Mus musculus: one gene and its partner. The protein of the gene in region 2 binds, or shares a complex with, the protein of the main gene of each other region. Links are inferred from orthologs where the notes say so. Each region holds a gene or a part of one and is shown on either strand. Other genes may lie near its edges. The genes, in order: Rab29 and Lrrk2.

Region 1 (4,356 bases), on a different chromosome or scaffold from region 2:
GGGGGAAAAAAAGTCAGCTTTGCCATTCCATATTCATTCCCCCCTCCCCCCGCCCCCCAAACAGCTTGCTGGGTAAATAATTTCTCCCCTTGTTACTGCCTGGTTTTCCCATTTTACCTGCAATATCCCAGAGCTGCAGCCGCACCATCTCTGAGTCAGACCACTGGAGAACCTTGAGAGCAAAATCCACTGAAAATATATGAATATTGTACTTTAACAAAAACATGTCTTTACGATGGTTCTGAGAGTGAGATGAAGGCATTTGTGGCTAACCCTGACAACCCAAGTTAAATCCCTATAGCCCAAGCCTATAAACTGGCTTCTGACTTCCACAAGTATGTCACAGAATACATGTCCACACACACACACACACACACACACACACACAGTAAATGGTTTTTTTTTTTTTTTTTTTTTTTTTTTTTTTTTTTTTTTAGTCCTAGCACAAGCTCAGATCAAATAAATATACAGTGACAACCCCAGGATCACAACACTCCAATTAGGTTTAAACCTTCTGGCGATGGAGAGGAGCCCCCATGGTACATTTGTGTTGGGACACATAATCCGTACTCTCCAAACGGTCTTCAGTGTTTTCTCCTCTCTCAGATCAAATTATTTCACACTGATTATCTCCTTGGCTAGGATCAAGAAAGTTATGGGCATGGTTATGACCATTATTCCTGTTCTCAGGTTAAATGGTTTCTGGGATGTTTTTTAAGTGGGGGGTTCTCAAGGAAAGAATGGTGGGGGAGATGGAGGAAAGGAAGGTAAGGTGGTTAGCTTTGTATCTTCCATCTTAACTTCACTGTTAGTATCTAATCAAACAGTATTATGAGAAAATACAGTGAAAACCTCTGTATCCTCCTTAAGGCTATGGTATATGTCCAGCAGGTACTGGTTAAATGAACAAGATGGCAGAGGTTGAGACATGGATGCTGCTTAAGAGCTGTGCTGAATCCCCCACGGGTCTGCAGATGCTGAAACTCCATGAGGTTGGACTGAACAGCTATTCCAGGGGAACCTCCCAAAGTCGGATAGTAGAGCCTAGCTCCAACTTGAGATCCTCCTGCCTCAACCTCTTGAATGCTAGAATTAAAGGTAGAGACAACCACACTATGCTGGAAAAGCTACTTGTTAAGGAGAAACACAGAATAATTTCAGTTCAGAAACATATTCTTTCTTCTACATCTGTGACAGAAGTGAAAACGAGGGAGAATTTATAATAAACATTGGGAAAAACAAACAAAACTTGCCAGAATCAGTATGTTCATACTGTCGGAAAACAGTCCACTGGTAAAAATTAATTCACAGGACATTTTTAACCCAAAATCCATGAAATAAGGACTTGTATTTAGGAGTGGTGGGCAAAGTAGTCAGGAAACAGTTTTTGAAATATTCTATAAAGTTTTCATTTCAAAGAAAAGAGTTAATAAAAAAACTTTCACATGTAAATCTGTGTTGGTACAAATGTAATTTTATGTGCTGGGCGTGGTGGCGCATGCCTTTAATCCCAGCACTTGGGAGGCAGAGGCAGGCAGATTTCTGAGTTCAAGGCCAGCCTGGTCTACAGAGTGAGTTCCAGGACAGCCAGGGCTATACAGAGAAACCCTGTCTCAAACAAAACAAAATAAAAAAAACAAATGTAATTTTATTCTTTCACATTACTGTAACCTTGTTAACTACCTTCTCCTTGTGGTGGTGGTGGAGGTGTGTGTGTGTCTGTGTGTATCTGTGTCTGTGTCTGTGTGTTTGGGGTAGACAGACCGACAGGTGGACAGTTCAGCAGAGTCCAAAGGCCACACTGGGAAAGAAATGAATTTACTTTTAGTGCTTCTTTCTCTCTTCCTCCCTGCCTTCCCCAGTGCAAGAGAAGACGACAGGCCACTCGAGGGTATTTCACATTCTTTCGTGAATTCCTCACATTTCCCACTCAGTTCACTAATGACACCATAGGGCTCATCAGACCTGACCGGAATCTGTCCTCCAGTCTTCCCCACACCTCTGACTGCTTAGCTCCTGGGCTTTCCTCCTAAGGTAACGGGGTTCTTTCCTCAACACCCGTCGGATGCTGGTAGGAAGCAGGGTAACTGCCCCAGCCTGCACTTGAACCGGGACTCAGCTGACTTTGCTGACTGGAGAAGTTGCTCTGGGCAGCGCATGGCTGCGGGAGGGCTCTGCTCTCTGCGGTGAATAGTCCCCGGCTCAGACCCCTTCACCATCTCTCACCTGTATACTTTGGCCCTATCTTTGTAGGTAGGCTGGGGACCCCTTAGAGGCAACCTCGGTACCCAGAGGCTACCGGCTGCGAGCCTCGACCCCTGCTCCTAGTCACCCGTGACCGCTCACCTCCCACGGTGGACTTGTAGTGCTTGCTGAAGCTGTCCTGGGAGTAGCGCTGGACCAGAGACGTCTTGCCAACGGCGGCGTCCCCCACCACCAGCACTTTAAACAGGTGATCTCGGCTGCCCATGGCTAGTGGTGGGGAGAGGTTTTTTGATAGTTTGTTTTTCCGGGAAGTCGCTTATTTCAACCCCTTTGGCTCCCGGGTTCTCTTCCAATTGAAGTCAGGCATCTCCACCCTCGGTTGGTTGAAGCTTCTCTGACTGGAAAGCAGAAAAGGAAACTTTTGCACTCGGCCTGTGCGCGCTTCCTCCCCGCGCGGCCGCAGCCTGGGTGGGGCGGGTACCAGCTCGACCCTCCGCGATTGGCACCTTCCTTTCAGGGACCTCCGAGTCGCTCGCCAGCATTGAACCGTGGCCAGCACCTTGCTTAGAGAAGTACAGATGACTTAGACCCTTTCTCGGACCGCACACACAAAATTGAGGTTGTGCAGAGTCCTTGTCCGGTCCCCGTCCTGCCACTGGCGGCGCACTTCCCAGTCTTCCGTCAAAAACGTTGTGAGCCCCACTGCTCGGAGAACTACATTTCCCAGTGTGCCTCTTGGTAAAGCGACCAGACCAGTGTGGCGACTTGCCACGTACACTCTTGGGAAATGTAGTTTCCTAGCTATCTTGAGCAAATTTACATAAAAGTTTTAAGGTTTTCAAACTTTAAAGAATTTAGAAATCTATTTAAAAACAATTCTAAAGTTTGGCGTCGAAGCACAGGTTTGCAATCCAGGCCTTGGGGAGATGGAAATAGGAGGATCATAAAACCCTAGTTCATCCATCGTCTTCTGCAACAAGTGTGTTCAAGGACCCCTAACCCCACCACTTCCTCTCCCCAGAGCAAGACAAGAGATTGGAAGCAACTTTGGGTCACCCTGAACTACGTAGACCATGATCTCTCCTGTCTAAATCTTTCCCCCAGATGTTTTCTTAAAATCACATTTTAAAGATTTCTAGACGGCCTTTCTTATTAGCCATATTTTAAAGGTTTTATAACACAAAGATAAATGTCCAAGTTCCAAGTGAAGTCCATTTCCTGTTGTCTTAACTACAGAGTCAAATCTCGAGCCTTGTAAAGACAAGGTCAAATTTTCCATATGACCAATAACAGGCACATTTGGGGACATTTGACCCAAAAGATCAACCTTTTAAAAAAAATCTATGTCAAAAGTTACAACACTTAATAACTAGCTATAGCAATAACAATGCAGAATAAACAAGAGATAGTTCCTCATTGACACTTCCACATTTCTTACACCAGCCACGCATAGCGTTTGAGCACCAGGACATTTCCTTTTGTTGCTGCTATTAATTCTGAATACTCATAAAATGATTGGCAAATATTTTTACTTTTCCTACCTGTAATTTTTCTGTCCTGCCTGTCCTTTAGCTAGAAATTGTGGCTAGTAGAATAAGCTTCACTTTTTTCCCCTTTTGGCTGTTTTGTTGTTGTTTGTTTGTTTGTTTGTTTGTTTTTTGTTTGAGAGAGGATTTTCTGTAGCCTAAGTTGGTGTCAACTTCTGACAGTAGACCATAGAACTTGTGGTTCAATTGTAACAACATCCAGTTTTGTAGTTTTGGAGAGTAAATCCAGGCATGCTAGGCAAGTCCTCTACCATCGGAGCTACATCTCCAGCCCTCCTCCTCCTCCTCTCCCTCCTCCTTCTCCTTCTCTTCTTTCTTTTTTCCTTTCGACAGAGTCTATGTAGCCCAGGCTGGCTTTGAGCTCCAGATCCATTTGCTTCTGTTTCTGCTTCTACTCCCTCCACTGGAATGCATGCACACAGTATGCAGCTTTGTGTGTGTGCTCATGTGCGCAAGCTCGTACACATTTGGGGCTGGTTTCTTCCACTACTCTCTCCCTTCCTCTCTCTTAAAAACTGGAAATTTAAAGTTAGTAAACAAAGTAATACCTTCCATTACAACATTTCCATATAACTCCCCCCCCTCGATGTTCTTTGTTCTAATC
Region 2 (3,813 bases):
AAAACTTATTCCTGTAGTAGACATAAAAGATAAAATGAAATTATTGCCACAGATGCAAGGCTAGCATAAATCTAATAATCTTGCAGCTGCCAGTCAATGGCTTGAAGAGACCTCATCACCCTTTGAAGTGGACATTTCTGGTTTCCTTAACAACTCAGTGGTGTGATGTGATGTTTTTCTGGAAGCTGTCGTGAGAGGGCATTTGATGGTTTGCTGAAAACAGACCCTTGAGAGGGTGTGTGATGTTTAGAATGAATATAATCAGAACTTCACAAACAGTGAGAGGATGCTCTTGCATTGCTACCCCCTGCAACGTTTTGCTGGTCTTCAGTGGTCTTCACTTCATAGAGAGAATCGCTCCAAAGAACTTCTCCTAGTATTCAGGCCACTCCCACTGACGCGTGCCAATTGTTTCTGCACAGCCTTGTTTTTTCTGCAAGATCGCGCCACCGCTAATAATTCGTGTTTGGTGTTTGCTGATGAACTGGACTTCTGGTATCCTGACAATGAAGAATGGAATCACCCCCAAGGAACTCTTTCTAAACAGGTCCACAAAACTCCTTTCTTATTAACCTAGGCTACTGCGCTTTTGTGGACATCTACTACACTCATACTTGTTACGTAGATGCCCTGTTAAAACATACCCTCCTCAAAGAAGAGAGGAGGCTCATGGGACTCAAGAAGCTGCCCAGCCTTGGGAGACCTAGGGATCTCAGAAACTCAGAAAGCTACACGTTGTAAAAGCCCCCTTCCCAAGGTTGTCCCCAACAGTGGACAATATCTAGGATGGGGAGACTCTAATGGACCTTCCTTTGTGTTGGGCTGGGAGCTCCAGGGATACAAACTTCATGGGTCATTACACCTGCTGGGGTGGGCTTTCCCATAATGCAGCTGTCTTTGAGTAACTCATGCTCCTATAAATAACTCCAGTAAGCTCACTGGTTCACAGGCTAGACTTAGAGGGAAATGTCCCTTGGTCAGCTATTGGTGCCCTATCAACAAATGCTTGTTTAAGACTCTGAAGTAAGAGTCACAAAACAATTCCATGAATTCAACATTCTGGACAATTCAAAGGTGAATACCGTACACTTCTATTATAGTGTACAACGTAAAATATTTTGGAATTTAAATTTAAACCCTAAAATATAATGGAAGCTTACATTAAACTCTCATGGACCTGCAGAAGTAAATCTCGATTTTTGTCTCAGGTCTGGCTGTAGAGGGAAGAATTTAAGAAATAGTTTTATTGGAGTCTGGAGGAAGAGGATGATTAGCTACCTGCTTTCATTGTTTGAGGAGAAAGGCTGAGAGGAAAAGGAAAAGCAGTATGCTTCACAGTGGAGGTGGCCAAGAACAAGCGATGCCTATTTCAACCCAGACCTTCAAGCTGCTGTGAAGAGGGACAGGTCATGTCCAGCCCCTGTGGTCTTCCCCCCCCACCACACCTCTCACAGTCATGCTTCCAGTACCCGTACTACCCACAACCAGGCACCAGATCACAGCCATGTAGCACAGGTCACATCCAAAACCAACTCCTCATGGTGCAGGACCTCCCTTCCCTCAGATACCCCACTTGGTCTCAAACTACTGATTTTTTGCTGTCAGAGCAAAAAATCACCTGTCACCTGGAAGACAATTTTCCCCATATTTAATCATTCATTGTGACTAACCTTAACTGAAATATTGAAAAACATTTACAATCCCATGTTCAGCAATATTCACTTTAATAAAGATATGTAATCCATCCAGGGGCCCACTATGACATGAGTGGAGGAAGATAATGTATTTACAAAATGGAAGGCTACTCAGTCTCATTTATCATAACCTCATCGCGGAATCACAACATGGATAAAACTCCAGACCAACAAATGAGGAGAATAAGGTAAGCAAAACCAAAAAATGACACGCCATGTCACGTATCCTAGAATACAAAGTTGATAGAGTAGATCTGAGAATAGAACGGTGCTGCTGGAGGCTGGCATCACACGGAAAGCGGTAGGAAATTGCCAGTCACAGATACATAGCCATGAGATCATGATTTTAAACTTTTCAAATAGATGAATACATAAAGACAAAATAAGCAAGTGGTTACCCGGAGCCAAAGACAGAAGTACACAGATGTCCGGGGGAACGAAATAGGAACTGGGCCACTGCTTATGAGATTTAACTGTGCAGTGATGAACACGTTCTAGCATTGACTCTGGCAATACCAGTTCAACTCTACACAAACACAAGCACATAGCCTTGTACATCCAATCAGAGATGGGCTCTCCCTATGTCAGTGTATTGCTCTAGCTGACTTCAAACTCACTGGTGATCCTCCTGTTGCAGAATTATATATTCCTGAATTATATACTTTAAACAGGCAAATTGTGTGACCTATTATGTTTCAATAAACCATTTAATGAGGGAACAATGTCCAAGAGGAGGGAGGAGACTAATAATGAAGACAAACAAAAGTAAGGACTGGAATATTTACCTGATAGATTAAAGAAGTTGCCCCCTTCACTTGGTTGGCATCAGCTCCCAAGAGGAGCAAACATTCAACCATGATGCTGTTATTCTGATCGCAGGCTCTCTCTAGCATGGTGTTTTTCAGCTCATCATCCACGGCCACTTTTGCAAAGCATTTGCAACATAGATTGAGGAACTAGAAAGAACAGGAATGAAGATGAGAGGCAGCCCCTGAAGGATAGGGTTTAGCCCACAGGCAGCAAACCCATACCTGCTCATCCTTTTGTTCTACAACACTGGAAGACATCTGATGAAATATCACCACATCAAAGGAATAGTGCACTAGCAGCTTGGAGAAAGATACTGACAGCTCAAGTATTGACAGGGTTGTCTGTAATCCCTGAAAGTGCAAGCAAAAATAATAGTAAATGATGTAATAGTCATGGGCAAAAAAAAGTTCAATGTTATACAGCACTTCATATATGATATTTAAGACCCTGCTTGCTCTTTTAACTAAAGAGAAAGACTTAAACTTGAGCTTGACAGCAGTAAACCTTGAAATAACTACAAATGTCTCCCTTTCCTGGAACTAAGAAATATATTAAGGACAAGGAGAACAAGTGCTAGCTGGCAAGCCATCCTCAAATACTTAATCCTCTCAAATTTGGCCATTAAAGGTTCCTTTGGGAAACCAGACATGCCAGAGGAAAGCTACGTGTTGCCCGGGATTAGAACAGCTGGTGGCATCTGGATGCAAAGCGGACATCTTGACATCAGGAGGGCACAGTAGTAATGGAGTCCAGCACTTCTTCCGCCTTTTCATGCTAGCTCCTGCATACACTTCTTCTACCTCAGAGGCAAACAACTCCTCCTGATCTCACTGTTGTTTAGCACAATTGTCTGAAGCTCCAAAGGCAAAATAAAGGGTGTGTCCTTGTGGTAGGTTTCATACAAACAGCAACATTGCTTCTTAGAAGGGACTCAAGCTTGCTAAGGCCACCAGGCCTCTCTGCCTATGCAGTGCTTCAAGGAAGTGTCCTTTCCACAAAGGGCTTCAGCACTGAAGACAGTGAGTAAATTCTCAAAAGGTCGGCCTACCCTCTACAGCAACATCAGAACAATCTGTCTAGGCATAGACACAGAGATGATTTTGTTCTCTTAAGATGCTGAATTCGGCAAATACAGATACTTGAGAAAAAGTATATTTAGATTGTAAGGTTCTCAGAAGTCTGTCGCCGAAAGCCTCACAAGAAGTTCTAGACATGAAAGTGTGGCAGCCGAGGTGGGACCGGACCTTTGAAGGAACCATTTTTCAGCTCTGCACTGATTCGATAAAATAGGCTGGGAGGCTTAGTGAGC

The links.
Region 1: the proteins of Lrrk2 (region 2) and Rab29 are in contact, whole or in part, in a cryo-EM structure (PDB 8FO2), measured with the Homo sapiens proteins. The link is inferred for Mus musculus from reciprocal best matches to the Homo sapiens genes LRRK2 and RAB29. Residues at the interface, in NP_940980.4 of Homo sapiens: Arg361, Lys362, Arg399, Met402, Leu403, Leu406, Met407, His408, Leu437, Ser438, Lys439, Gly440, His442, Leu443, Asn444, Glu447; in NP_001129134.1 of Homo sapiens: Leu7, Val42, Asp43, Phe44, Ala45, Leu46, Arg58, Gln60, Trp62, Leu76, Tyr77.

The regions. Positions count from the first base shown.
Region 1 is NC_000067.6:131,865,766-131,870,121, reverse strand, and holds the start of Rab29 (ras-related protein Rab-7L1), read right to left. Parts: upstream 2,846-4,356; 5' UTR 2,712-2,845; exon of another isoform or gene 2,604-2,711; 5' UTR 2,471-2,603; coding exon 2,347-2,470; intron 190-2,346; coding exon 118-189; intron 1-117. UniProt on the Homo sapiens protein: The small GTPases Rab are key regulators in vesicle trafficking. Essential for maintaining the integrity of the endosome-trans-Golgi network structure.
Region 2 is NC_000081.6:91,724,974-91,728,786, reverse strand, and holds part of Lrrk2 (leucine-rich repeat serine/threonine-protein kinase 2), read right to left. Parts: intron 2,855-3,813; coding exon 2,726-2,854; intron 2,651-2,725; coding exon 2,480-2,650; intron 1-2,479. UniProt on the Homo sapiens protein: Serine/threonine-protein kinase which phosphorylates a broad range of proteins involved in multiple processes such as neuronal plasticity, innate immunity, autophagy, and vesicle trafficking.